Arabidopsis thaliana: one gene and its partners. The protein of the gene in region 1 interacts with the protein of each later gene in a pairwise test. Each region holds a gene or a part of one and is shown on either strand. Other genes may lie near its edges. The genes, in order: PTR2, CAM3, CNGC1 and ATERDJ2A.

What was found.
Region 2: the proteins of PTR2 (region 1) and CAM3 interact in a protein complementation assay, tested with the Arabidopsis thaliana proteins (one large-scale study listed by BioGRID).
Region 3: the proteins of PTR2 (region 1) and CNGC1 interact in a protein complementation assay, tested with the Arabidopsis thaliana proteins (one large-scale study listed by BioGRID).
Region 4: the proteins of PTR2 (region 1) and ATERDJ2A interact in a protein complementation assay, tested with the Arabidopsis thaliana proteins (one large-scale study listed by BioGRID).

Annotation. Positions count from the first base shown.
Region 1 is NC_003071.7:484,665-491,896, reverse strand, and holds PTR2 (peptide transporter 2), read right to left. Parts: upstream 4,500-7,232; 5' UTR 4,356-4,499; coding exon 4,299-4,355; intron 4,044-4,298; coding exon 3,726-4,043; intron 3,648-3,725; coding exon 3,091-3,647; intron 3,016-3,090; coding exon 2,190-3,015; 3' UTR 1,956-2,189; downstream 1-1,955. Other genes in the region: AT2G02050 (NADH-ubiquinone oxidoreductase B18 subunit), read right to left, coding at 1,562-1,873. UniProt on the Arabidopsis thaliana protein: Peptide transporter. Mediates the transport of di- and tripeptides. High affinity, low capacity transporter. Can also transport histidine.
Region 2 is NC_003074.8:21,032,570-21,038,899, forward strand, and holds CAM3 (calmodulin 3), read right to left. Parts: upstream 3,598-6,330; 5' UTR 3,352-3,597; coding exon 3,276-3,351; intron 2,786-3,275; coding exon 2,412-2,785; 3' UTR 1,965-2,411; downstream 1-1,964. Other genes in the region: AT3G56780 (FBD, F-box and Leucine Rich Repeat domains containing protein), read left to right, coding at 1-66, 166-288, 405-707; AT3G56790 (RNA splicing factor-like protein), read right to left, coding at 1,266-1,886; AT3G56810 (uncharacterized protein), read right to left, coding at 4,358-4,908, 5,911-6,330. UniProt on the Arabidopsis thaliana protein: Calmodulin mediates the control of a large number of enzymes, ion channels and other proteins by Ca(2+). Among the enzymes to be stimulated by the calmodulin-Ca(2+) complex are a number of protein kinases and phosphatases. Activates MPK8 in vitro.
Region 3 is NC_003076.8:21,536,342-21,544,508, forward strand, and holds CNGC1 (cyclic nucleotide gated channel 1), read right to left. Parts: upstream 4,689-8,167; 5' UTR 4,381-4,688; intron 4,235-4,380; 5' UTR 4,150-4,234; coding exon 4,121-4,149; intron 4,044-4,120; coding exon 3,473-4,043; intron 3,389-3,472; coding exon 3,176-3,388; intron 3,085-3,175; coding exon 2,798-3,084; intron 2,703-2,797; coding exon 2,591-2,702; intron 2,517-2,590; coding exon 2,280-2,516; intron 2,191-2,279; coding exon 1,489-2,190; 3' UTR 1,380-1,488; downstream 1-1,379. Other genes in the region: SPDS3 (spermidine synthase 3), read left to right, coding at 210-314, 403-475, 560-631, 752-944, 1,028-1,157, 1,244-1,312. UniProt on the Arabidopsis thaliana protein: Acts as a cyclic nucleotide-gated ion channel. Can be activated by cyclic AMP which leads to an opening of the cation channel. May be responsible for cAMP-induced calcium entry in cells and thus should be involved in the calcium signal transduction.
Region 4 is NC_003070.9:30,067,461-30,076,156, reverse strand, and holds ATERDJ2A (DnaJ / Sec63 Brl domains-containing protein), read right to left. Parts: upstream 6,639-8,696; 5' UTR 6,488-6,638; exon of another isoform or gene 6,445-6,487; intron 6,169-6,444; exon of another isoform or gene 6,166-6,168; 5' UTR 6,135-6,165; coding exon 5,949-6,134; intron 5,871-5,948; coding exon 5,775-5,870; intron 5,685-5,774; coding exon 5,564-5,684; intron 5,450-5,563; coding exon 5,343-5,449; intron 5,257-5,342; coding exon 5,039-5,256; intron 4,931-5,038; coding exon 4,753-4,930; intron 4,676-4,752; coding exon 4,556-4,675; intron 4,334-4,555; coding exon 4,247-4,333; intron 4,087-4,246; coding exon 3,976-4,086; intron 3,760-3,975; coding exon 2,920-3,759; 3' UTR 2,717-2,919; downstream 1-2,716. Other genes in the region: AT1G79950 (RAD3-like DNA-binding helicase protein), read right to left, coding at 7-148, 348-393, 502-785, 871-1,027, 1,189-1,336, 1,432-1,513, 1,604-1,752, 1,826-2,091 and 1 more. UniProt on the Arabidopsis thaliana protein: Required for integral membrane and secreted preprotein translocation across the endoplasmic reticulum membrane.

The DNA of each region.
Region 1 (7,232 bases):
AAAAGAGTTCAAAAAAAAAAAAAAGATAGAGAATCTTGAACATTCACATCTGAAAATGTAGCAACAATTTTTCATCACTAGCAAGAAGAAAAAGATTGAAAAGCAGAGTCCCCACCATCTTCACAGTTCCAGAGAATCCCTGTCCAAATATTTTCAGAGTGTGAATTAGGACTCAGAAGAATGAATAAACAATCAAATCAGGAGAAAACAAAATCATTGTCATGTTGAAGAATCTTAGACCAAGTATTTAGGGGTCTATCTTTATAACAGAGAAAACACCCATTGGTGTCAAATCATAATGGCATATACAATGAACAAGTAGTGAAACACATAAGAACGATATGAAAAAGGAAAGAATCACACAAGCATGCAAGAGTACTCAATGGCAAGTGAGAACAAGAAGATGAGAGACATTAAGAGATTTGTTCTGTAGCTGTTGTGACATAAAATACCAAAACAACAAAGCAGAAAACGTTTAGACACAGGTATGTAGTTGGTGCTGTAATTATACAATTCTTCTCACGGATTTATAAGTAACACAAAGTGACTGTACCAATTCTTAGCCATGAATATCTGAGACACAATTTACAAGTTCACAAAAGATATATATCAATCATAAGAATTTCAAAGCCTAGAAGTGTGAGATCATAAATCAAACATAAAAGATATAGTCTAACGAATAGACTTGGGTCTAGTTAATCAGTGAAACTCTCTTGTATCCTTTTTAAGGGTCTGTAACACAAAGCGACTGTAACAATTGCTAGTCATGATATCAGATTACAAGATCTTAAAACAGAGAACGGGCAAAAGAAGTTGTAAACACAAAAGATATAGTCTAACGACTTGAATTGTGTCCTGTTAAGCAGTGAAACACTCTTATATCCTCTACGGGTCTGTAACACAAAGTCACTGTAACAATTGCTAGTCATGATATCTGAGACACTATTTACAAGTTCATCGAACATATAACTTGCAAACATAAAAGATATAGTCTAACGAATTGAATTGTGTCCTGTTAATCAGTAAAACACACTTAAATCCTTATATAGTCTAAAGGTTCCAGCAAATTAGTGCTACTGATTACTTAAAGACTTATCTATTAAGCTTTGAAAAGGAAACATCATGAAAAAACAAAATCTGTAGAAAATCCAGTCAATGATGGAATTTTCCTTATCCAAACTTCAGATATCATTGAGATACTTTACAACAAGAAGTACAAAGTCCAGACATTTCTCTAACATGATTGATACAGAACAATTGTGATTGCAGTCTAAGAGAAATTGAATCCAATTGTAGTCAAATGTTCACAACAGAGGCAACAAAATTGCTAAGACGAGAGAATTCACAATTCAAAACCAAGATAATGCATTAGACATCTAATTGAACAAGCAATCTCATTTATTCCCAATGAAACCCTAATTTGGAATTTGAAGAACACGAAGATCTGATCATGTAGCAGAAGAAACAAACCAATTCAATCAAATCAACCAAAACACAAGAAATCGAAAAACTATAGACTAACCGGAATCTGGAATCGGCAAATTGGAGAAGGAATCGAATCCTAAGCATTAGCAGTTTTAGGGATAAGAGGAACAGCAGCGTTTCCTTGTAGTTTATTCTGTTTAGCCAAAGCTTCTTCTTCACGGATCTTCTTCATCGCAAGCATTCTCTCCATAACAAGCTCGTATTCACACTTCTCATAAACGTGACGCTCGTCTTCACATTTCCATGGAAGGTAAAACTCAGCCTGACGACATTTGTTGAGCGGAATCAAGAGATGAGCGCACATATCTCTAGATCCAAGTGCTATTTTAGCTGCAGACATCTCTTCTTGCGTTGCGATCATCTTCTTCGATGAACCTGGAACCTCCATTTTCGCGATCCCCAAACCTCACAACGATACTCTCTTCTTCTTCTTCGATTTTATTGACCCGGAACATTCTTCTTCTCCGGGTCATATTTGTGCCCGTTTGATATGGGCCAAAAGCCCATTTGATTTACTAAGCCTATGGACAATTTCTCTCAATTTAGTATTCGAACCCTGAATTGTTTATAATATTGCAAATGCGACTTAAACTTTTGAAATTGAAAGGAAAAGTACACAGCAATGTTGTTATTGATACAGAGACAGTTACAGTTGAAAGAAACAAACTTTTGTATGTAATGAAAGTAGATAGATAACAGCATTACTACGACGAAGCTTTCTTTTGCTTATACCTAGCAGCAGAGAAGAAGTAAACCGCCATGTTCACAAGGCTAAGACCAGCCAAGAGCCAGAAGAAGTAATCGAGATGACCTGAATTGAGATTATCCGAAATCCAACCTTCTTGCCCATTTCTTGTTGTAAAATAAGTCACGAGCGTGAGGATCAACGAGCTCAAGTAGTTACCAAGTGCATTGGTCAAAAGAGCCAAGGCACTGCACAAGCTTCTCATTGCATCTGGAGATTGGTCGTAGAAGAACTCGAGCTGACCGATGAAGTAGAATACTTCGGCTGCACCGAGAATGAAGTACTGTGGAATCTGCCACAAGACGGATATGGGAACTGGGGCTCCTGACTCGACTAATCCAAGATCGTTGGCCATATGGAGACGGATGATTTCGACGATAGCTGCAGCTGCCATACAGAGAACAGAGACAAACAGACCAATTCCCATTCTTTGTATCTCAGTGAATCCTTTGTCTACTCCTGTGAACTTTCTTGCTAAGGGAACGATGAACCGGTCGTAGAGCGGCACCCAGATGATGACGCTTGCTGTGTCGAATGTCCCGAGTGCTGCAGGAGGAAGCTGGAATGATCCAATTTTGCAGTTCATGGCTCGGCCTTGTTGAACAAACATTGTGGACATTTGTGCGTATACAGCTGAGAAAATGATACCAGAAGCCCAGATTGGGAACATTCGGATCAGAATCTTGAGTTCTTCGACTTGCGTAACCGTGCATAGTCTCCACGAGTTGGAATAATCTCCGGATTTCGATTCTTCTTCTGAGATAACAGCGGCTTTGTCAAGATACCTGCATCATACCAGAATAACTTGTTAAACCAAGTAAAGCTATACATTACTGGAAAGCAATGAAGCGGATATTTACTGGCAATCATCGGTATGCTCGATTTTTCTACTTCCAGCAATAGCAGAGTTCTTGTCTTGAGTTTCATACAGAAGTGTGGCGTCTTCAGGGACTTTGACAGACGATTTCCGGAACGAAGCAACCACGACTTGGGAAATCCGAGTTATAGGGCTTCCTCCAGGTTTCTGAAACCTATAAAGAGGTGTGCCAAAGAAGAAACTTGCAATGGCTAGTCCCATGAACACTGTTGGTATCCCAAACCCTAAACCCCACCCGCGATTCTCTTGAATCCAAACTAGAAGACTAGATGACACAAGTGCTCCAATATTGATGGAGAAGTAAAACCAGTTAAAGAACGAAGCTTTTCTAACTCGTTCCCGAGAGTCCGTGTCATCAAACTGATCGGCACCGAAGGATGAGACACACGGTTTGATACCTCCAGTTCCAAGAGCGATCAGGTAAAGCCCACCAAAGAACATCGCATACTGAGCTGGCGTTGCAGATGGACAAAAGTCACCAATACATTCCGCTGGCTTCAATGCCGGAACTGAAGCTGAAAGAGTTAACGCAGACATCCCCTAAACAAATACAAAAACCTATCAGTAATCAGGAGCAAACAAACCAAACCAAACATTACACAGAGAAGCAATGCTTACGATGAAATAAATCCCGGAGAAACAAGCGATGGTCCAGTAACGTCCCCAGTAAGCATCAGCCAGAACAGCTCCAATGAGAGGAGTGAGATAACAAGTCCCTTGCCATGTGGTAACGTTTGTAGCAGCAGAAACATTTCCTTGGTGAAGCTTAGTGGTGAGGTAAGTGATTAAATTCCCAGCAATACCATAGTAAGCTAGCCTCTCACAACATTCATTACCAAGAATAAAAGGACAAGCTTTCCAGTTTCCTGTTTTCTCCTTCAATGGTGGGTTTCCATTAAAGTCCACTGAACCATCTTCAGCATACAATTTCACTTCCTACTTAAAACAAATTCACAAAACATTTTTGATTAGCTAACTAAACTATAACTGTATCAAAGCTCGAAACTTTGATCTATATCTACTTGCAAAATTCAAACATTGGAATCATCAATTAGATAAAACAGTGATTGCCCAGAAAAGATCTCAATAAACCCAGAAAGAAAATGCATAAGATCAATCTAAAGTCAAGATTTTGGAATTGAGTAAAATCAAAATTCGCTAACCTAAGTGATTAATTGAAATTGAACAAACCTGTAAAATTAAACCTTCTTCGATGAGAGGTCTTGCTTCTTCTTCGATGGAACCCATCGTTTTCGTTTTTTGAGCTGAACCAATTTAGATTCCTTACGTTGAAGCTACCTATCTAACGATACTCTATTATTTATCGGAGACGTGACGGCTTTTTATTTTACTTTTCCCGGCGACTTATTGGAAAATAAAAATCAAAACTTTGATTATAATAAGAGAAGTAATTAACAAAACTCATCTTTTTACGAATTTTTTGTTATTATTATGACGTAAAGATAGAATTGTGGATCAACCTGTTACCTGTCCATGTCTCAAGTTGTTGATATCACTCTAATCAAGAATTTTTTTTTTACATATATGTGTTTCTAAAACAATACATCATCAATACGTTGTTGATATCAGTAAATCGTTTGGGGACTCAGATAACAAACAGTAATTATCAGCCAATCTCTCTATAAACCCTGAAAGAACAAGAATGCTCAATAATATGTAGCTCAAGTCAGCAAAATTAGGAGAAATGGAAATTAAAACTCGATAACCTAGATCATTAATTGTACGTTGAAACTATATAAACTCTCCTATTATTTTTTGGTAAATGTGACAAATTTTTTATATTCCTTTTCCCGGCGAAATTTGTTTTTATTGGACTATAGACATCGGCTTTGTTTACATATTTTTCTAAGGTCTGTGCTTAAACTTCAAATGGGAATTATATATATATATATATATTTTCTTTGTGATTCACATAGAAATTAATTTGTGTTTTTATCACAAAATCATTTCATAACTATATGTGGCCAACTTTGATTGATTCCACAACTTGATTCATAGGGTGCATAGAGAATGTGGTACGACCATCTATAGATTCATCATCCATCATCTCTTGTAAGAACAAAATCATTTGTTTCTATATCAAATAAGGTGTTATAAAAACTAAAAAAAAAAAGATTCTCCACAACTTGAGTCCATAGAGAGTGTGGTACTACGACCATCTATAGATTCATCATCCATCATCCCTTGTAAAAACAAACTCTTTTGTTTTTATATAAGATAAGGTGTTATAAAAACTAAAAAAAAAAAATATTCTCCACAACCCAAGAGAAAATTCGGTAAAACAAACAGCTTTGAGAAAATGAAAAAGAACACAAATGTATGGTGCAAAGAAGAAACTAGTCTCAAGAGAGAAAATATTGATTTTATCTAATACTCTACAAAAACCCAAAACTCTTGAAAACATAACATAATTTTCTCAAATGTATTGTGCAAATAAGAAACTAGTAGAAAATAAATGATAAGATTGATTAGCTATTGACTAAAGAAAACCTTTAATTCTATACACAAATTTTTTCGAGAAAATAATTTACCTTTCGTTTAACGAAAGATTAGAATTTTTTTTTACATTTAGCGATACTTCGCTGGGATAGAAGAAGTGATGCTAGTATCTTATCCCATCTCTTAAGTCCGTAATTTTTTATCCCCTCGAGTAGAAGAACAAGTAGAAGATTATCTTCCTGCGATTTCATTCGTCGTATATTAAAAAGGGTATATAATTTTCTCGAAAAGTATTTGAGAAATATAAAAATAAGGTGTAGATGAATTGAAAGAGAGATGATAGATGGTTTAGGGCAAACAAGTGAAGTAGAGTCTAGATTATATAGGTTTGTGTAAGTATTTGTTTTTTACGTGAGAAATTATTTTAATGTGGGCTTTAATATTATTAGTAAGTAATGTGTGGCTTTATTCTTTTGCTCATTTGGATGATTAAATTAGGCAAAATTTTCAAACTCATTTGACTAAACATAATTGGACAATTTGAATGGAGATGGATTAGTCAAAATAACAAATGACAAATATGCTCTAATTCTTCAAACGATCATTTTGTTTATAAAATTTTATATAGAAAAACTAGATAATCACAGAAAAAAAAACAAAACAATCTGCCTATACGATTACAAAGTGTTAAGAATTTATATGCAATGAGTCGGAATCCTAAACTAAGAAACATTTTTTATAATGATCGGTACAAGTATGTAACCGATCAGTTCTGGACATCTTATGTACTGACTCTTACGATTGTCAAGGTCGGTCGTGATCTTCAATCTTTTTTCATTTGATGCATTTTGCTGATTTGCTCTATTTTCCTAAACTCCCAGTTTTATCCAAACAAATCCAAAAACTTTACTTGACAAGAAAATTCAATAATATATACTACAAAGACATAAAAGTGTTAAAAATATATAATAATTTAACAAATTTGTTTTAGTTTTAGTTTTGTGAGTTTGTTAGTTTGTTAAACGGAGTTGTTAACAAATTAGTTGTTTTCTTGAATTAATCAATCTACTTGTACAATTGGTTTTATTAGTTAACTGAGTTAGTTTCTCTCTACTCTTTCGTTTACGTTCTCTCTTTACTTTAGCTTCAATATCCAAACAGTGATATTGATACCTTTGGAAACTATAAAACCATAAATGTCGAATAACTCACACATATTTACATATAGTGAAAAATATTACAAAATATTACAATCACAAGAAGAATAATTAATTATGTAGATACCACACACATATATATATATATATATATATATATATTTATATATAATTAATTCTTTTTTTTGTGCAAAATTTACAATAATTAATTAATATATGATTTCATGTCTCTTTCTTCTTACTCACACGTGATTTCACTTCATATCTCTTAACCAAAATATACAATAATTTTTTTTGTTTGATTAAAAAAAAAACCATAAATGTCGTATGTGGTATAGGTAGTTTCACTTGATGGACTCATAATCAGTTGAAATAGTTAGTCTTAGATCAAATATAATTCAGGTTTAAACACACACAAAAAAATCAAATATAATATTTCTATACTCTATCTATGATTATCTATGATGAAAAAAGAAGAAAGATTATTCATGGCTCAAATTTTAAGTCA
Region 2 (6,330 bases), on another chromosome or scaffold:
TTGGCATATGCAAGCCGTTACCGGTATATTGTACGGGTTAGGCTCGGAGTTCCATCAAAATTAGAGGTAACTTTTTTCATTCCATGTCGTTTCTTTCTCGTGTTATATCTTGTTGGAACCATCACATAAATGAAATATCGTGTTTTTTTTTTCTTTTTTTTCTAGGATGCAAGTACCTTCAGTCGAATCGTGCATCTGGAGCTGAGCATATGTAGTGAAAGATCTGTGGAAATGCTTGTAGATTTGCTCCTATGTTTCACTAAATTGGTGGTCCTCAAGCTTGAACATGTATTCAGTTTTCTCCCTTTTTTCCTTTACCATTGTAATTTATACTAGTGTTTAATATTCGACCTCAATGATCTTATTATTAATAGCAGTTTTACCATTTTTTCTCGTGATCGCAGGTTTACTTACTAACCCCGTTGGGTCGTTGGGAACCGCCAAGTTTGGTTCCCGAATGTTTGTTGTCCAGTCTTGAAGCTCTAGAGTGGAAAGGGTACACAGGGAGATACGGAGATAAGGATCTGGTGAGTTATCTCCTGAACCATGCGCTTTGTTTGAAAACGGCAAAAATCTTCTATAAGACATATCCATGTGAAGTGGAAGCGAAGCAACAGATTGAAGAGGACTTAGCTTCGATGCCAAGAGGTTCAAAGTCATGTGAAGTTCTTTTGAATGAAATTATAAGAAACAAAGCAAATTGTTAAATGATTGCTAATATTTGGAAGAAACTCGCGGACATCTTATGATTTGATGCTTCACTAAATTCAATGTTTCATTAAAATTTCTACTGAGGTGTTTCACATTCTCTTGTGTTTAGGTTTTTATTGGCCTTCTGTTTCGTTGATCATTTGAAGCTATTCAATGAGCCCCGTTAGGAAATCAATTTAACGTAAACTGACTGCCATTGATAGGACCTAATTTGCATTTAAAAAAACAATGACACTAGAGACCTTTAATAGAAAACCACGAACTAGACCAAGTTACAAATTACAAGAGCAAGACAACAGAAATAACAAGGCTTTTGAAAATATTCAGACGCAAAATAGATCATAAAGGGATATAACATTCGTTTCTTAAACAACCAGAAAACATACCTCGAGTCCCACACAAAAAAAAAATTAGAACATAACACAAGAATTTATATGTAAGAGATGCAAACCAAGTTTAGAGCCATTGTTTGGTTCCAAAACAGCATCACTTAGCCATCATGACCTTAACAAACTCTTCATAGTTAATCTGTTAAATGAGAAGAAGGAAACTCTTCATAAGAAGAAGTCTTGGGTTGCTAATTCAGACGCAAGAACCTTCATTAGGTTGCTCAATTTCACCTTTGATTTTTGTGGTTCAAACAACGCTTGTCTAATCATCTTCTGTTTCTCCTTTTCTTTTGCCACACGCCTTAGAGTTTGCAGTTTCTTCTCTTCCTTCTTTGTCAATTTAAAAGGTTGGGGAGGTTTAAGAATATTCTGAAAAACATCTTTCTTGTGTTTGTTGTTGTTAACCATCAATGTACTAAGATTAATCACATGCCCATACTCATCTATTTCTCTTCCAAGTACATCTACACGCAGAAAAAAGCCCTTGGTCTGTTTATGTGCAACAGCCGTATCTATTGCCAGCTCCTGAAATCGTTTAACAGCTTCAAGGATTTGACTAGAAGTAGTGTCCGATGCAATAGAACAAGTATACGGCCTTTTCTCAAACCTAGCTACATCTTCAAACCTAGAACTCTTGTTTGTCGTCCTAGCCGCCCCATTCTCTTCCTCTGATCTATCTTTCCTCTTACTTCCTTCGTGAGACCTCTCATGATGATGCTTAGTCCTATCTCTCTCATCACGATCGTCACGGATGCTCCTGGAATATCTCTGCTTCTTGTTATCCATGATGAGACAAATTTAGGGGAAGTATGAAACGAACGTGAACAAAGAAACACAAAGGTATTTTACCTATATTCACATCAATTGAATGATCCCAATTCAACCACGAATAGGAAACTTTATGCCGTTTTCCTTTTTCTTAAACGACCACGAATTGGAAACTTTTATGTCGGTTTCTATTTTTTTAATGATACACACCACACCACGTTTTGACCTTTTTAGTCATTGATAGGACCTAATTTGCATTTCACAAAACCATGATACAATGCTTTACTAGAGAGACACCATTAATAAAAAACCGCGAACTAGACCAAGGTTACAAATTACAGGAGCAAGACAACAAAAAAACAAGACTTTTGAAAATGTTCAGACGCAAAATAGAGCATAAAAGGGATAAAACATTCGCGTCTTAAACAAGCAGAAAACATACCTCGAGTCCCATGAATAAAAATTATAGAACATAACATAAGAATTTATATGTAAGAGATGCAAACCAAGTTTATAGAGCCATTGTTTGGTTCTAAAACAGCATCACTTAGCCATCATGACCTTAACAAACTCTTCGTAGTTAATCTGACCATCACCATCAACATCAGCTTCCTTGATCATCTCATCAACTTCTTCATCAGTAAGCTTCTCACCAAGGTTTGTCATCACATGGCGGAGCTCAGCTGCTGAGATGAAACCGTTCTGGTCCTTGTCGAAAACCCGGAATGCTTCCTTGAGCTCTTCCTCAGAGTCGGTGTCCTTCATCTTACGAGCCATAAGGTTCAAGAACTCTGGGAAATCAATGGTACCGTTACCATCAGCATCCACTTCGTTGATCATGTCTTGAAGCTCTGCTTCGGTTGGGTTTTGTCCAAGGGAACGCATCACAGTACCCAGCTCCTTGGTGGTAATGCAACCTACAAGCAAATCAAGAATTTGTTCATCATTCACTTCTCTGTAAATCTAATTCAATCAAATATCTTCAATTACGAAACTCAAAGCAGGTTTCTCTGTAGAGAAGCATTTTAGCTAGATCCCAAACTTCTCAATTAACAGTTTCTAGTCATTAACTTCTCAAATCTAAAGTGAGATAAAATAATTCAGATGGAAAATTAAATCCAAATCGATAACAAATTGGCAAATCTCCAAGTCATCAATCATCCAAATTTCGATTCAAATCCAATCCAGGAAACAAACGAACAAAAATTGAAAAACAAGGAACGAGTCTAGAGATCACGAATTACAGATCCGTTAATTATCTACATCGACACAGATCAATTGAATCAACAAGAAGAACAGAAATCAAATCAGTTATGGCTAGACACCAAGATCCAACAGTAGCAAAATCCTATGTATTCAAAAACATTTGAAATTGCGAGAGGGAGAGAGAAAAAAACAACAACGTACCATCACCATCCTTGTCGAATAAGCTGAAAGCTTCCTTAAACTCAGAGATCTGATCGTCGGTGAGCTGATCCGCCATTGTTTTTTTCTTCTCCTTTTCGTGAAACCTGTAGATTCAGAATTTTTTTGTTTTCTCTCAAAACGAGAAAGAAGAAGAAGAAGAGAAAATTAGAAAAAGTGTCTCTGCTGGAAAAAACGAGAGAGCAACCGTATTTATCGGGTACGAAGCTATTAACGACTTTTGCTCCGACCCGGGACTTTAAAAGCTTTTTTTTTTAACCCGTACCGGGTTTGGAAAAATCTCTGTTATAACCTCGGATTATGACTGTAATTGCGTTAATGCTATCATCAATGATTTCTTTTCTCTTATAAAACGCCAGAGTGGACAATTAAACGGATCACACGTTCACGCGGTCTGTACGCGGAGCGTTGACTTGACTGTCACGTCAGCATTCTCGCTGGGTCCTCGAGATCTCTCTCAGTACAGATGTCTGTTTATGATTGGCTTCGCTTTTGAATTTAAGTAGTCCTCCTCACCATTGAAAACAAATAATTAGTTTCTTTTATTGTTAACTTAAGTACAATATCACCTGCAAATTAATTAGATTAGATTTCGTTTTCAAACAATCAAAATCACTTCAAGATATAATTGATACGTCTAATCAATTTCTTAATAAATTCTATGATTAAATTATGTATATAAGGTAACTTAAGAAAGGTATATATAAAGAGAAAACGATCGAGTTTTAAAATATAGGATGAGTTATTAAAAAAAACATTAATATCTGTATCTAGATGAATATATTGTTTCTGATTTTGTTAATCATTCATTTATTTAAGGAAATCTATGTAGTACTAGTATATACATGAATTCATCAAATAGGGAAAGTTTTTATATTGAATGCAAATAGTGTATCATTCATTAAACCCTAAACAACCAATTGCACTCTATTGAAAGATATGTCTTAAATTCTGAATAAGCTAAGAAAATTATAAAATAATTTAAACAACAAGTGTCATAGGTGAAAATTGTCGCAACTATGACTTCCATAACCGTCACAACGAACCTAAAGATATCAATCGCATCAAAACACTAATCTTCTTCGACACGCGTCGAATGGGAGAGAGTTGCTGCTGCCACGTCGGATGTGTTGGCCTTTACCTCCTCCGCCGTAACAAACAGAAGAATCCACCGGCGATTGATAAAACTCGTCGTCGTCGTAGTCAGAGAAGGAGAGCTCTCGAACGGTCTCTGCGATCAAGTCGCGACAGATGTGATCATGAAGAGCCAAACCGATTTTAGCGACCTCTCTTCGTTGACCAGATGCCACGTCATCACAAACTTGGTTCACGCTCTCCATCAAGCTCCGTCTTACCCTCCGCACCACAAGGGGCAACGTGCCACATGACTCTGTCGTCGTCGTTGACGTTGATCTCTTGGAAATGACGTCATGAATGGAGTAATGATCGGGTCTAGTGATTAGATTTATATTGTTGACTTTGTAGGGTTTGTTGTCTTTGCAGCAATATTCGTGATGGTTCATCATCGACAACATCGTGTCTGTGTCTGGTTCGTGTTGTGTCGTCTTCGTGTTCTTCTGCGTGTGCGTCCCCACGACGACATCTCCTGCCAGTACTGTTGGTTGTTTGTTAAATAAGACGAAAATAATTTATCAGACAACTTGTGTGTTTAGTATATAAATTAGTACGTTGTCACACAAATATATATAAACTATTACTAGCGAATAATAAGACTCAGGCATACATGAAGTGCTTGTAGAATCATTTTTCTTTAAAAGTGGTGTTCTTGATTTGGTACCATAAAACAGTATGTGGGTCAGAATCAGGAATAAATCAAAGAATGGGTGGGGGTCCAAATGATGGGAAAAGTTAAAGTGGGCTTCATGACTAAAGGAATAAAGGCCCCTAAAAGCTGTTTCTTCCTTCATCATTTGTCTAACATGCCTCTTTCTCCTCACACTTTCTTTACTCTCTTCTCCACTTTAATTTGATCCTATCAGATTAGACTAAACCTCATTACATAATTAGCCCCACCGAAACTTAATTGGGGTCCATACTATATTGTCTTTATATAATTTTGAACACTATCCTCAATATGACAACAACTATATAATGATCCAATTGTTAGAGCAATTAGATGTGACATCAAAATCAAATAACACAGTTTATGCATGCATGAAATTGTTAGAGCAATAAGATGTCTTTATCAATATACTTTTATTTGTATATACCAAAATGATGAGCCTGTCTTCCACTATTGGACATACTCATGATTTCAACACCACCAAATTAAAGAGACAACTCTTTGGCCTTCCCATTCTATCTTCACTCTTTATTGCTACTTTAGTTGACACAATGTTCACTTAAGTTTACTACTTTAATTTATTTATTTTGAACAACAAAAGATTAAAATACAAAATTCCCTGATAATGTGCTACAAATTACGGACCACATCAATTCTCCCACATTTTAATATGAATTTTTCTTTCTTGATTTTTGTTAAGTTATCAATAAATAAGAGAAGTTTTTATAAGTGAAAAAAAAAAAAGATGATTTCGACATGTTTGTATTAAACGTATAAGATGACCAAAACACTGACAAAAACGGAGAAACGTACCGGTGCCGGAGAATTTAAAATTCTCACGTGTGGTCGGCGGAGAAACCTCAAGTCTCTTGTGAAGAATGTAAGTGGTTTTGATGACGTCGATGGTTCTTCTTAGCTCCTCTAAGTCCCGATCACATTTCTCTAGTGCTCCGACTAGACTAACTCTCGCCGCATCTCCCTCTCCTTCATTGTGCGGAAGCGGTGGCGCAACGATTCCTCCGCCTTGTCCGTTTGATGAATCTTGCGGAGGAGAAGCGTAAACGACGGTTCTTTGTTCTCGCTTTTTAGATCCCAAGGTGATGGATTTGCGGCGGTTGAAGGTGGAGAGGAAGAGGTTGAAGAACCCGGGGAGGCAGCCGGAGGAGACGGCGGAGGAGTTTGAGTTTCTCCGTGGAGGATTATGGTTTTCCCGCCATGAAGATGAAGGAGAAA
Region 3 (8,167 bases), on another chromosome or scaffold:
TTTTTGGAGAATATGTTGGAACACAATGCGATTGCGTTGTTGTAGCTCTCTTCTTCCTATATGATCTCATGAGATAGCTCTTATCGCAAATGATGACTCATTCCAGTACATTGAAATGTAGAATCAGCTCAGATTAAAATAGGGAATTGTCAAGCTTACACATTTTACTTGCGTATTAATGCTGGCCTTCGCTGTCTAAATATTTGCAGGTTCTTGTTGTTGGTGGAGGTGATGGTGGTGTTCTTCGAGAGATTTCTCGCCATAGTTCTGTTGAGGTTATTGATATCTGTGAGATAGACAAGATGGTTATAGATGTAAGTTTTTGGTTTTGTGCTTGCCATATGTATGAACAATTTTTAGTTATGTTCTATCTCAGAAAGTGGGATTTCTGTGGTCTTGTAGGTGTCTAAGAAGTTCTTCCCCGAGTTAGCGGTTGGGTTTGACGATCCTCGTGTTCAACTTCACATTGGTGATGGTAATTAAGCATTCTTCTACTTGTTCTCTGTTCACAAAACGTAGTCAAAAATTTGCTTGTGTTGATATCACTTTCCTCTGGCAGCTGCTGAGTTCCTCCGTAAATCCCCTGAAGGGAAGTATGATGCCATCATTGTTGATTCTTCAGATCCCGTAGGTATGATTCATCTGCAAAACTCTTTGGATATCTGAGTGATTCTTATTTTGTTTTTCTAAATCAAAACTCGGTTCAGACTTCAGCTACAAACTCTCACGTTTTCACTCTATATAATCATAGGTCCTGCTCTTGCGCTTGTTGAGAAGCCTTTCTTCGAGACACTGGCTAGAGCGTTGAAGCCTGGGGGAGTTCTTTGTAACATGGCAGAAAGTATGTGGCTCCATACTCATCTTATTGAAGATATGATCTCCATTTGCCGTCAAACATTCAAAAGTGTTCACTATGCGTGGAGCAGCGTCCCCACATATCCAAGGTTAACTCTACTTTTCTTCTGATTACATTGTGTGATCTCACTGAAATCAGAAACATGAATTGAGCAACATATCTTCATTGCAGCGGCGTGATTGGTTTCGTCTTGTGCTCTACTGAAGGACCAGCTGTTGACTTCAAGAACCCAATCAACCCTATTGAGAAACTAGACGGTGCGATGACCCATAAAAGAGAATTGAAGTTCTATAACTCTGATGTAAGTTTAACACAACTATGACTTCCTCATTTACTGTTTTAGATTAACTTAAAGCAAAATCCTGATCTATCTTTTTACTAAAACAGATGCACAGAGCCGCATTTGCTTTGCCCACATTCCTGCGGAGAGAAGTAGCTTCACTTCTGGCTTCTTGACTTCTGTTTGGCTCTACCATATCCCTCATATCAAACTTTGTAGAACTCTTGAAGAGGAATAATAAATCATTGAAGGCTTTGTATCTCTAAGTTTACTCCTTTATAAAAAGACTTATATTTATATATTGGCTCTATGGTTCGCAATAAAATCTTTCATATACATATATGCTAATTAATTAATCATCACTGTTGAAATCTGGCTCTGCTGGTTTCTGAAGTAGCATAGGTGGCATTCGTTCCGGCATCCTTGGTTTCCTTACTGATCCGCTCCTACGTATTGTGCGCAAGATATTTGCAGCAAACCGTGATGCGTATATTGTAGCACCGAGGCTTGGGGAACTTCCACAAGCTTCTTTAGCCAAAGCATCCTGCAACCGATTCTCTTCTTCTTTAAGAGACTCTTCGAGTTTCTTCTTAATGTATCTTCTCCAAGCGGCTTGTATGAAGCAAGCGGCCCAAGTCTTCCATTGTTGTGAGTAGTACCTGAAAGTATGTCTTAGCTGTTTGCTGTGAAGACGTCTGAACTGGGAAGCCACGAATTTGAGGTCATCAGCTTTAAGTGCGAAAGCTTCAACTTCCATGAGAGCTCGAACAGTTCTTGTTGAGATTGGGAGGTTTGAGGATGAGTGTGGGTCTAAAGCCCAGGTTAAAAGCTCCTCACCACAGAAATCACCGGCTCCAAGATACTCGGAATTTAAAAAACCGGTTCTTCCACCGTTTGTTGTGATTGTTAGAAGCTTCCCGCGCATTATGAAGAGCATTTCGTCTACCGGATCTCCTTCTCTTACTATGTAGCTTTCCTCTGTGTATAACACAGGTTGCAAACGGTCACAGAGCGCATCAAGAAGCTGTTCGTCCATTTTCTCAAACATGGGGACCTAGAACCAACAAAAACAAGATGCGGTTACGAGTGATGTTGACAATAAATGAGAAATCGAGTAAAGAGAGGAGATGATTTCTTCTTTACCCGCATGAGAAGGGCGAGACAGAGATGACGTTTGATGTCGCGTCTAAGATCTTTGGGAAGATTACTAAGAAGATTCTCTTCGTCAACACCTCTTGTCTCTTGCCATTTGTACTGCTCGTATCGCCGGATTCTTTTTCTCAAGTTCTCAGGTAGCAAACGGTGTGACATCCATTGTTCTGCGTCTCTTCTCTTTACCCTCATCTCCTCCAATCTCGTGGTAGTGGATTGCAGATACGTCTGCCATTTAAAAGAAAAGCAGTAAGTAATCGATTTCGCAAACACTATGGCATATTAGATGAAATGAGACTAACCTGCATATTTCCAATCAAGAAGGAGAACAAAACCAGCCCCGCAATAGAAATGAACACCGCGAAACAGATTTCCCAAATATATGTACTTGTTTTAAGGTTCTGACCGAGCGAACTGGATCACGAAAACAGAACAAAGATGCAAGAACTTAGTGTTGAAACTTTTCTTCATAAGAAACGGAGAAAATTTTGCTGATAAATTCTCAATACCTGAGGTTCTGCAGACCCCACCAGAAACAGTAAAAAAACTTTTGAGGGAAATCTTGAGATTCCACTACACCGGATTGAAGTGCGTCAAGGAATATCCCAAAGTCGAAGAGTGTTGTGTTTGGTGTCTGAATCGGACAAGACTCATTGAGGAAAGCATTGCCTCCTGCAGTTTCAGGGTCACAGTACAACAACTTCGAAATGCACGGAGGGTTATTCCTCTCACAAGCTTGTTTCCAGCACACCGTTTCGCGTTCGATTGAGAACAAATACCAGAAAGCACCAAACACCTACACATTTACAGGTATTGACCAAAAATATTATATATCTAAACTCTGAAACTAAAAAGGTTGGGACAGTTAGAACCAATTTGGCACTCACATGACTAGCAAGCATGTAGAGGAAGAGATTGAAAGCAGCTCCAGCCCAAGCTGTCTCAGTGAGTATGCCTGAAGTTCTTGTAACTTCCTTGTAGAGCGGATATATTCTTATAAACCTCGGTATATATTGGAAGAAAACAATAAACTTCAACATATTCTTCGTGTTCAAAGACGATGAACCTCTCATATGTGGAATGATTATCAAAATCACCATCTGAGGAAAAACACAATTACTCACATTACTCAAAGAATCAAGCTAATGATTTGGAAATGCAAACAAAACCAATCAATGAATCACCTGCGGAAGCGGAAGAACAGCAAGAATGTCAATTATGAAATGTGAGGACAAGTAACGTTTAGCGATCTCTCGCTTGTCCTCAACAAGAACACCTCTCCCAAAAACACGAGACGAAGGAGCGATAAAGCCAGTACGGAACTGGAAAATGATGTGAAGGACATAAAAAACATCAGTGAAAGAGCGCAAAACGCTTGCTGTTATTTCCATTTTCTTGTCAATACCAAGACATTTCTTAGCATCATCGATGATAGGCACGTAGAAGAACAAAGGGTCAAGCGAGACAGCGATGATACAAGCTAAAACAAAGATCTTGTTCCATCTCTGAAGAAAAGGTCCTTGTGGGTCAAGAATTTTGTGAGTAGAACCAATCCCTTTTGAAACAGCTTCTTTAAAAGAGTAAGACTTGTAAGATCTTTTGAATAGTTTGATCCTTGCAGAGCTTGATTCAAAGCTTCTGTAAAACTTGTCGGAGATTGAGCTTATTGTTCTCTGGAATATTCCAGTTTGAATCTCGTTTTTACCGGAATATTCCACGTCGGAGGAAGTCTTATCCGACTTCCAATCTTGAAACCTGATCCGAGAAAGTGAAGAAGAATCGAATTAAGCTTCACGACTTAGAATTCAATGAGACAAATCTGGAACACTGACCTTACAAACTTCTCTTGTCGGAAATTCATAGTTTGAGACTAATAAGATTCAATACAAACAGAGATTTCACTGCTTCATGTGTCTTCTTCACCAATTAGAGGGAAATTCATAACCCTGATTCAACAAACTTCAATTCAATTCAACAATTTCGATTTCAGTAAAAATCAAACTCAAATTTCAAAACTTTCCAGTGTCAAAAACGCAATTCGACTAAACAGCAAAAAAAAAGGAAGAAACTTGTTTGAGGTAAAAAATCAAACCGAACATGGACAAGTGTGTTTGCTTCCGACAATCCTGTAGACTTTTGAGGAGAACAATAAGAACCAATAAAAGGGCAAAAGAAGAAATCACTGTTTAAACCCACCAAAAAGAAAAATCAAATCTTTGTTTTGTTTTTCCTCGGAAAGAGCGAAACTAAAGTGACCCAGAAACTAAAGAAGAGAGGAAGCTGATAAAATGAAGAAATTGGAGAAAGAGAGAGAGTGATGAAGAAGAAAGAAGAAGAAGAGATTGAATGATGAAAGTGAAGCCTTTATCAGAGGACAGAGAGGACGGGGAAGGAGTTTCCACGAAAGTCACAAACTTTTGCTATTTTATCATTTTTTTCTTCGATTTTCTTAAATTTTGTTTCACTGTTTTTGTTAATTTTTTTAAAGTTATTCCAAAAAGACAGTTATACCTTTGCAGTCTTTGATACTTCAAAAAGATTTCGGACCAAATTTAACTTTGACTATTAAGTACGAAATCTTTTTTAAATTGAGTTTTTAACTTCACCTTTTAGTAGAAAAATATGTTCTGAATTGAGTTGTCAGTTTTTTAGTAGACGAATATGTTGGAAGATTACAGAATTCACAGGCTCACAACAATAATATATGTAGTTTTCAAAAGTAAAATAATGCTACATTTCCTGATCCTCTCATCCATAGATGTTGAAAGAAATATCTTTATCAATCATGTATTTTTTTTTTGTCAATCATGTATTTGTTTGCACACAAAAAAAAAGAGTCAATCATGTATTTTTAAAAAAATAATGATAATTTTTTGACAATTCCATATACTTAATTAAAATAACTGTTTATGCCATTTAGCAAAGTTTCCTATAATTTTTTTTATAGCATATATTATAATTAATTTTTTTAGATTGCTTAGATTTTTTTTATATACATTCCATATATATGTTGTTTGGTTATGGGATCAAATCAACTTAAGCATGTAATAAATTAGAATTTGCTGACAAAAGAAGACGTAGTTACGGAGTTAATCAAGGCATTTCTTTATTACAGTCGAAGACATTAACTGATATCAATGTTTAGGCATACAAAAACTTCATAATGATGTATCATTTTCGTGGCAAACTTAAATTCTGTAACTGACTATTGTTCTCTATTTTTGTAGGTTTGATTTTTGTCTTTGTAATACGTCGAAGTTTCGTGTTGATGAGATAATGTCAAATTTCGTAAACTCAGGCTTTTTGTTCGTATATTTCAATGCACAGTTTCATTTCCGCTTGTATCCTTTTTAAAATCGTGTATATGGTAAATCGATTTCATAGATTTGAATAAAGTTACTTAATATTTAGTTTTATGTTAAATCACGAATGATTTAGATTATAGAAGGAGATGACATAATTTGGGAAAAAAATATGAGCCTTTTTAACATTTGAGTTCTTAAGTATTTTCAAACTGTTAGTCCTAACTCCTTCATGACATGTTTTCTTTTCTTATGTTGGTGAAACATCCTTTGATCAAAAAACAAAAAAAAAAATGGTGAAACATCATCTCTTCTTTTTTTCATCAGCACCAAAAATTTCAAACTTGCAAACGCAGACGAAAAAAGAAAATCACATTTGCATTTGTAGCTACTAAAACCATGACCATGATTAAATTTATCTCCACCAAATTTCTTTTGTTAAGAATAAAAGGATGATAAGTTAAAGATATAGCCCGTGAGTACTTGTCGATCAACCACGAACCAACCCACGTGTCCTCTTCCTCTTTATCTTCTCATTTTTACCAAATTTTGTTCTCCACAAATTTAGACCGTTAAGTTTAAAATTAAATTTGAACGTCTATTATATTACTCAATTGATAGTTTAATTGATACTGATAATTAAGTGCTAATAGAGACCGTTGACCGTATCGTGTCCCTGATTGTACGTTGTCTTATGAATGCCAAGGGAGGTTCCTAGCTGTCGGATTTGGAGACCAGTCTCAAGATTTTATCATTGTTACTACTTCATAATCCAAATTTGTCTAAACATTGTCAACTCTTATTTAATTGTTTATACGAATAAAATACTATTAACATCGAATTCAAACTATCAAGACCTTTGAATATGGACGATATGAGTCAAAGTCAACCATCTTCCCACCCGTAAAATTATCACAAGAAAAAGACATTTGTAAGAGTATCTTTCTCTTCTTCGGATTTGAATGAAAAATGACATAATGCTGTTGCTAATGCAGTCATGGGATCTACTCCTTATATTCCACCTCCTGCAATGACTGCATCAAGTCTTGATCTCAGTCTTTTTACGACGGATCAAGTCCATTCTTTAATACAACAACTCAATACTCATCTTCATGTTCCGGAGCAGTCAACTCCCTTTCCATCAGCTACCATCACTGATCATGGAGCTATGGCAACTACTTCTACAGCTGGTAATGTTTCTATTGAATTTCCCTCAACAAGTTTACGATATGAAAATCATTCTTTCACATTTCAACATCATTGTCTTTCATCATTATATTCCATTTTGCCTCATGATGCTTGGATAGTTGACAGTGGAGCTAGTAGTCATGTTTGTTCTGATTTGGCAATGTTTAGTGAGACTTTTCCTGTTACTGGTATTACAGTCTCACTTCCAAATGGCACTAGAGTACCCATTAGTCACACAGGCACAGTGCATATTTCATCCACATTGACTTTGCATAATGTTTTATATGTTTCAACATTCAAGTTTAATCTCATCAGTGTTAGTTCTTTACTTATGCATAATAAATGTTCAGCTCATTTCTATCATGATTCATGTTATATTCAGGACCATACTCGGGACTTGACGATTGGTAGAGGAACTCTCATACATAATCTTTACATTCTGAAGAAAGAAGATACATTGCATTCATCAAATTTCTGTGGATCCTTGATAGTTGATGATCGTCTATGGCATCATCGCCTAGGACATCCATCATCTGCCAAGTTACAACATCTTTCTGGTATTTTACCTATGACTAAGTCTGCTATTCATGATCATTGTGAAGTCTGTCCATTAGCTAAACAGAAAAGGTTACCTTTTAGTTCAAATAATCATTTGTCTGAGAATCCATTTGATCTTATTCATTTAGACGTTTGGGGTCCATTCTCAGTAGAGTCTATAGATGGTTTTAAGTATTTTCTCACTATTGTTGATGATTGTACTAGAGTTACTTGGGTCTATATGCTAAGGAATAAAAGTGAAGTTACTAAAATTTTTCCTGTCTTTGTTAAATATGTTCATACACAGTATAATTCGATCATTAAGGCTATTCGTAGTGATAATGCACCTGAATTGGCTTTCACTCAACTCGTTAAAGATACTGGTATGATACATCATTTCTCATGTGTATATACTCCTCAACAGAACTCTGTGGTCGAGCGAAAACATCAGCATTTACTCAATGTAGCTCGTGCTCTTTTGTTTCAATCTAATATGCCTTTGGTCTATTGGAGTGAATGCATTCAAACTGCAGTATTTCTGATTAATAGAACTCCTTCTTTGATTTTACAGAAAATATCTCCATATGAAAAGCTTTTCAAAAAGAAACCAGATTATAATTTCTTGAGATCTTTTGGTTGCTTGTGTTATGTGTCTACTCTAGTCAAAGATAGGACTAAGTTTACACCTAGGGCTGAACCATGTGTTTTTCTAGGTTATCCATCTGGTTACAAAGGTTATAAGGTGATGAATTTGAGTACAAATGTTATATCCATTTCAAGGAATGTTATTTTTCATGAAACATCTTTTCCATTTAGAAATGTTCCTTCTAACTTGCCTACTGAGGATTTATT
Region 4 (8,696 bases), on another chromosome or scaffold:
ACTCACAGTTTTAGTTCTTGAGCCAATGAATCCATGGGAGACAAGGTCCCTGATGTTAAAATGATAGACCCAACACCTTTTTGTGCTATGTCCAGCATGGTAATCCCAGGACTGAAGCACCACCAGCTAAGCGTTCTTGATACCTTGCCTACAAAATAAATCATTCATTTATTTCCTCCAAAGATATGACTAATCTTTCAAAAGACACTGTTTCCAGTTTCAACAGGGGAAGCAGAATAAGAATGATTACTATGTTTTCAAATTAGCAAAACGGCGTTTTTGTTAATGCTTTGGGACAGCAACAATGTTTTGTTTTAAAGGCTTTAGAAAATCGCACTCTTATTTACCTTTCATCACATCAGTAGAATTTTGCTCCAGCTCCTGTACATGAACCTAACAAAGGACGAATGAGATGGTGTAAGAGAAAGATAATTTTCTTTTCAACTTAATTATAAAAATTCGACACAGAATATAAAGAACAACACTCTTCTTAAAACTTACACGATAAACATCTGCATGGTTACTTCCATTTTCTCTAAAGATCAGCTTAAGCATGTCAGCAATGATTTCTAGTTTGCTTCCAGCGTTGGTCGCTGTTCGTTGTTTTTCCTCCTCCAGGAACACTGCAGCCTCCTCAACTGTACCAATGAGTTTAGGAGCAGTTTCGTGAGTGATGTTAAGGCTTTTAAGCATTTCATATATGTAAGGCCCAGGCTTGGTAAATCCCTCGTCCCTTTTGGGAATTGGCACTTTAGAAATCAGTTCCTGCAGCTTAAGAAGCAGTCCTGCAAGAGAAAAACAACGATAGATGAGAACAGGCATTCATGTATAACAGAACGTTGTAATCTCAGTCAAGGCCTAAAGTTTGACCTTTAAGTATAGCAAAATTCTCAGGGTTTATGGAAACGTCATTTAATGAATCCCTTCTTGCTGCCGCAAGTTGTACACATTCTTGCGCTTCAGAAATGCAAGCCGATAAAAGAACAGAAGGAAGGTCAAATGAAGCAGAGTCTGCGCATAAACTTTCCTGCGCATGTTTTAAAGATGAACTGAGTGTTTCGAGAAGTTGGAAGCAGTATAATCGTTTGGTAACCCGGAAAAATAGAACAAAACCCCAAGAAACGAAGAGTTCATGATGAACAGAGAATACATAAGGAAATTATATGTGAAACAACATTAGTCCCTTACCAGATTGTGCGCTTCATCAAAAATAAGGACACTATTAGTCCAGTTGACTTTCAAAAACTTTCTATACCCATTGCTGATCAAGTAGTTGTAAGGTGCAAATATGATGTCCACGTCCTTGTGAAGCTCTCTTGTGATATAATAAGGGCATCTGAAAAATACAAATATAGTACACAGATGGAAAAAGCCAGGAACGTAAGAAACGAAAATATTTGTTGAAGTAGCAAAAAAAATAGAGGAACCTACGGTCCAGAATCTTTTCCAATATTGACCAAATCCTCAATGTCAACAGGTTCGTCGCCAATATGAGGGTTATGCTTCAAATAATCTACAAAAGATTAAAGGAAAGGGAAAAATAGTAACCATAATTCATAAAGAAGAAGGATTTATAAATGGTCGTTTGATGATGGCTGTGTACCTGGAAGGCGATTGAAATGGTTGCATTGGCGTTTACCGCGCTTTTTGCAAAGGTACTGACAGGCATTAGTGAGTGCTTTGCCACGGAGGGAGTTGACTTCCTCATTAACGCATAACTGCTCCCGTGATCCAAGCACCACCATCTTAGGCCTACAAAATTGATTGAGAAGAGATGATGAGCAGGTAGCTATAAGGCAGAAACAGAATTTGTGGTGTGTCCGACCTGTAGCTACTTCTTTTTAATTCTTTGATCACTTGGCGGAGCTGACTATGAGTCCGGGACGCATAAACTATGGTGGGAAAAGCTCCTCCTCCTCCTCCTCCGGATTGTGACAGAGGCTCGTCTGAATCGGACCAAGGAATGGCACTGTTCTTCCGATCCTTACGGGTTGAGAAAGAGCCCAGACTCTTTCGCCAGGCTAAGGTGGCACAGAGAAGACAAAGAGTTTTCCCAGTTCCCGTAGGACTCTCCAAAAGCGCATGACATTTCTGCATCATCATCACAAGTTATAAACAAGATTAGTTAACAACTAATTCAGCGTTAATTTAAGAACCCAAATGGTCAGTGTGAACGGGGAAGAACCCTAAAAAGCGATATAGAATTGGGGAAAGCAAAATAAACAACAGAATAGAGAGAGAGAGAGAGAGTATCATCACGCGAATATCATCATCAACAAAACAGTTGAAGAGAGTTGGTGTGTAAAAAAGAGAGAGAGAGAGAGGGAGAGGGAAACCCACGTTTTGAAGAGACTCGATGACTCTGTCCATGTATATGATCTGAGACTGGTACGCCTCGAATGGGAATTCAACATTGATTCCTCTGATGCTGTAATTTGGCATTTTCGGGTCGGATTCCGCCGATAACACCACAAAACCTCTCCGGAGAAGACGAAGAAGAAGACGGAAGCAGACGCGCCTCTTCTGATTTTCCCGCCTTGTAGGGCTTCCACTTCTTGAAACAACCGTAAAGCCCATTATAACCCACTACTTTATTAACAAGGCCCATTACCTGATACCTGATGGTCTGTATTGGGGCCCCCAATAAACCCTAAACCCTAAACTATTTGGGGGAGTTAAAAAGTTTTGTTTTGTTTTGTAATGCTGTGTACCAAAATTTGTCCGAGTTAGTACGATTTTCTCCTTAGTCGCGTTTTGCTTGTATGTGTGTCTCTGAAGAAAAGTGATACAGAGAGAAAGAAAGAGAAGGGAGCCAATGAGAGAATATCAAAACTGTGAAAAAGAAGTTTCCGTCAAGATTCCAGGACAAAAGTATTGTATTTTTTGTTTTGTTTATCAATGTAAAATCTCATTTCTGTTTCACTCTTCCTCCGATCCCGACTCTTCAGAACTCGACTCTTTCTTCTGTTTCACACTCCCATTGGCCTTCTTCGACCCTCTCTTCTCATCCATATCTTTCTTCTCATCCTCATCTTCACTGTACTCACTTTCGTAATCATCATCGTAATCCTCCTCCTCAATCTCATCTTCCTCCTCCATACCTTCTTCTGCAATCGCACCCTCATCTGAAACCAACCCACGTGTCCCTGCCCTGGTTCTTTTCAGGACTTTCACTTTCAGTGCTTGCTTTTTGTCACACCCGATCCATGTGTCACACAGGCAGAAGCAAGTCAAGTTGTATGTTCCCTCTGCCGGTGCTTGGAGTTTACCCATGACCAGCCTTGACCCTCCTTTAACCTTCTCAATCGCTTCTCTCACTGCATCGTTTGTTTCCTTCACCCCTGCACCCGAACCTTCCATTGACTCACTGATGGCTTTTGATGCAGCCGTTATCGCTCCACCTTCATCCAGGAAGCTAACCTTCTGAGAGAACCAAACGTTGTTCGACACTGAATCAGCCAGAAGAACCCAATAGTTTTCCTCCTTGTGGAAGGGGAAGTAGGGTGCATGAGGAAGAGCGCCTACAAGCCCATTGGGTCGTTTCAGGGTGACCCAAGCTTGAAGGGTCACAATGTCTCCCTCTTGGATCCCCTCTTCCCCTTCTGTTTCACATGTGATGTCGACTGTAATAGACGGCATCATTTCTAGCACCTTCTCAATGTCCTCAACATCAGTTGCTGATAAACCCGCTACCTGAGTAAGTAGTTCAGAACGGTCTTCCAACCTCATTTCTTGAAGATCTTGGAATGATTTAACCTTCTGAAAATAGGAGAAACAATGACATGTTAACATAAAATGGAGGTTTATATATGTCTTTAGACTAGACCTTTAAGTAAACCAACCTAAAGAACCACTACTACTTATTTGGAGAACAGAATCCAACAAGATTCTCAGGAATCAAAAAGTGAGAGAAAAATGCACATGATATGGAACTAGATATTAGTACTGCACTTGACACATTTGATAGTAGTATACCTTCCGTGCTATCTTTTTGACAACGGCATCACTGAAATGAGGGAGCTGTAAGAAAGGGGAAATGCCTTCTGATGATACTCCAGAAGACTTCCTTGCACTAAGAGGAACAGCCTGCGATTTTGGATTTTTAGTTTATGTTCCTAGACAACAACACTAAGCACTTCTTAAACTTTCAGGAAGAAGTAAATCTTGTGGAGAAAAGAGACATAAAGAACTGAAAGCTCACAAACAAATAAAAACTAGAAGATAGGCGATGAGAGCAATTTAAGACCTGAACAATGCACTGAGATAGCTCAACTACTCCAACTGCAGGCCTCAGCCATCCATGCCCTTGGGCAGTGCGTGGTATAACCGCCATCTGCAAGAAACTCACAATGTTATAATGAAAGAATGGTTAAGAAAACCACAATTTAACAGTGTAACCAAAAGCATCACTATTAACCTAAATTTCTAAGTCTTTTAAGAGTCTGTTTCGAGTTCCTCTAAAGGAAAATACATATCTTCTAGGTTAGCACTTTGCGGTCATCGCTTTTTGATGGTTATTTTATCAGAAATTGTGTTATTTAAATAGAGACTAGACCTTCAATAACTCCTCAAGGAGGCGAGGTGCAAGCTCTAGCACACGCCTGAAATCACCCTGAAGGGCTGGAGACAGGACTCCTGATTCACGAGTTAACTGGGCTTGTATCAACAGCTCGGTCTGTACAGAAATTGAGGAAGTGAGTATTTCAGTTTATCCAATATTTAGCATTACAGTTGCATAATTTTAAAATTCACCTTCACTATGGCAGGATGCTGTTTCCAAAACTTAGCTTGCTCTTGCTTCATGTTCTTCAGGTCCAAATTTAGTTCACTCCTAACAGACATAAAGAGCTTCTGCAGAGGTTCATCATCAGTTCTACGAACTGGAATCTCCATGTACTCAGCTGCCTTGGTGAAAACTTCCATAACTTTGCTGGACAATAAAAATTTTAAAACATGTCATACAAACAAACGAAAACACAGCCCATTTGTCATGCACCAATAGCATCACTTGAATGTATATGGGTATGAGTGAATATACCTTGGGGCCAGAGAGGGTTTCATTAGATAATAATATGCGGAGAGTGTTTGATGCATAACGTAGTTCCCAGTATACTTTGATGACCTCGAGAGATATATAACAGCAATCACAAGGGGCAAGAGAATACAGACACCAACTATCCAAAGCAATAATATGCCACCAGATGCTCCATCAATGTCTAGAAGAAATTGAGGAAGAGCAATGCCCATTTGAAATCCCTGCGATCACATAACAATATTTTAGTCTCAATAGGCTTGTCAATAAGACGGGAGCACATGCGAAGGGAAAGGAGATGTATCCTTACCTGTCTGCCATCTGGATGACCATACTTCTCAAAGTTTTCACGGGATACTGAATCAGTCAAAGCCTGGTATGCTTTAGATATGAACTCCACAAAATATTTATTGGCTTCTGTAGAGATCAACAAATGCGCATAGAAGAAAAAACTATCAGGATCAAAAGCTGCAACCATAATTCCGTAATGATCAAAAGGGAAAAAAAAAATAACAAGGGGAAAAACTTGACCTGGATCTGGATTTTTATCAGGATGGTATTGAATCGACAGCCTTCTATATGCTTTCTTTATTTCTGAATCTGTAACTCCAGGTTCCAGTCCAAGTATACTGAATGGGTCAAAAACTTGAGCCTGTAACACAAAAGAAGGTAAATAAGCAAGTAGAATTAGTTGATATAAGTCAGCGGTGCATTCAAGTTCAACAGCAAGCAATGGGATTACCTCACGGCTCATGTTCTTAGTGTAATAAATCAAGAAAATCATCACGACCCAGAGTAGCACAAGTGTCAAGTTGCTCCACGTAGAGAAGTTAGAGATCTGCAGATAGATAAGTGAAGAAGAGGTTAGGAACATGCAATAATCTATTACAGAGCAGGAGGTTGAGTGGAAAGTAACCTTTTTAAACAAGGATCTCTTATATTTTCCAGAACGGTCACACTCGAGACACTGACAATGAATGGTCCTTTGTTTCTTGGAGAGAGCACCGCTTAACTTGACCATGGTGTAAGGCACCAAAGGAATTGCCATAATCGTCAAGATAAAAATGGGAAACAATGCGCTATTCTCTTCTGACGCCGCCATCTTTGGAGCCTTTAAACTGAGAGATTCTATTCTGCTGAAAGGAAAAGCTCTGTTATAATCTCACAACATCCAAAAAGCTTCAAGGATACAAAATTATCAATAACATGAAAAGCTGGATCTGAGGCCACTGAAATTAATTAGGGATTCTACATGACGGAGATCAACACTAATAGATCTCGGCTAATCTAGTCTAAAGGTATATGAATCCCTGGACTCACTTTGAGATCGACACAAAACCTTAGAAAACAAACAAACGAAACTACGGGAAGGAAGCAAAACCAATAATTGGTGAAAGAAGATGAAATCGAACTTGAAAGGATATTGTAGAAGAGGAAATCGAAGAAGAAGCTCACCTAGGATGATAGCTCTCTATAATCAGAGAGATCGCGCTGCTGCAGATCGGCAACAAACGGCGTTGCAGTTTTTTTTTCTTTATGCTTCTCTTCTCTTCTAATTTCTGATTTCTGATTGGTGAGTTCTTTCTTCTTTACTTGCTTATTCACTTTTCTTTACCTTCTCAATTAAAATATTTCGCAATTCATTTCTCTCTTTACATTTTTACGAGTTATTTATTTTCCATTAAATTAGAGTAATTATTAATAGCAAAGTTTTTATGGTGAACGAAAACGAATTTCCCAAAAAAAATCACATTTTTTATAAATTAGAAAGGAAAAAGAGAAAAGGATATGGATCAAAGAGGGATTATATGCTCTAGAGATTTAATGTGATCCAGATATTGTAATAGGGATTGCAACAAATCTCTTATATGTTCTAGAGATTTAATGTGATCTAGAGATTGTAAATAGTTACAACAAAATAGAGATTTAAACAAAACAAATATTTAATGATTTTAAGAAAACTGTTTTGTTGTAACTATTTATATTTCGACCAGAAATAAATTGTTCTACTTGCAAAATACATCAATCTTCGTTATTATTATCGATTTAATCATAAACTGTCTAATTCAATTAAATTTATAAGAGCATGGTTACCAATACTTTTTTATCTACTGTAACGAAAGCTAATAATGATTTTGAATGAGTTTGGTATGATTTGGTTATTCGATTCACTAAAATAGTCGTTTTAAATCTAGCCAAATATCGTATAATTTTACTTGTTTTGATTATATTAAATAATCAGTTATTTGAAAACTTTGTTGACATGTTAATATTATATATAACTAAAACAAAATATAGATATTAAAAACAAAGAAAATGTTATTATATAGCTATTATCGTTTTTCATACCATTTAAATTTTATTACTGGCTTTCATATTATGATATTGTTGTACATAGACACCACTGCTAAAATGCTTATTAACTTGAGATTTTGCTTGTGAGATTTGGAGGCTAATTTTTTTCTCGGTTAAGCATTTCTCGCATCATATGCCTTCCACATAGTTTGAGCTTTTGTTCACCAAATGTTCTTACCACTCTCAAGAAACTGGCAGCACACGAATATGCTTTCCACATGGTTTGAGCTTTTCTCTTGGACAAAAACTCGTTCACCAAATGTTCCTACCACTCTCAAGAAACTGGCAGCACACGCATATGCCTTCCACATAGTTTGAGCTTCTCTCTTGGACAAAAACTCGTTCACCAAATGTTCCTTCCACTCTCAAAAAAATGGCAGCACACGGTGGAGTTTACCACATTTGAAAACAAGTAAATAATGTCTTACATAATTCACAGTCACTGCTTTCTTCGATCATTTTCAAGAATTTTGACCGTGAAATTTGCAATACCATATCTTCAAGAAGACATCTAAAAGGTTTTCGCAATCTGGTGATTAGGTTAATGCTCTTTTGTAATACATTTCTTTCATTTTATATATGATATTAACATTTATAACAAAAGAAAACAATCATAGCATATTGCATGTCATTGCAAGTTTGCTATATACAGTAGTTTTAAACCGAGTAAACTTAAGATCAGGTAGGAAAGATGCAAATAAAGAAGCAAGTGATACCAAAAATATATGTAAACATTTAATATAGTTCTTCAATCTAATTGACGATTAGAAAGTACTGTACTAGATGATTACGATCCAAGATTTTTGTCCACACTAAGAATATTTCACAAAATAAGGTTTGCAACAGTAGGATTGAAATGCCAGTAAACAGTGACATTATCTCGAAAAAATCCAACTCAGAAATCATTTACTAGCTAATAATATTTTTCAAATAGTTTAGAATTATTATTGTTGTTTATCATTAACGCATACAAAGTTAGTTGTATAATCTTTCAACTTATAAATAATTTGGTTTTGGACGGAAGAGCTTTACGCAAATGTATTAATTTGGTTTTGATAATTTTTATTTGTAGACTCGATTTGTTTACGTAAATTATGAAAGAGAGGCAAAAATAAATATCATAAGATATAGTATTAGAAGAAAAGGACATAAAAGTAGTAATTAAAAAAAAAAAGGAAAAGAAAGTGTGAAAAGAAAAAAGGAAAAGTAGAGAGGAACGCAACCCTGGGGGCTTCTTAATAAACCCCTCTCGCTCTCTTGTCTCTTCCTTACGACAACCTCTCCTGCTCTTCGTTTTCTCTCTACGACG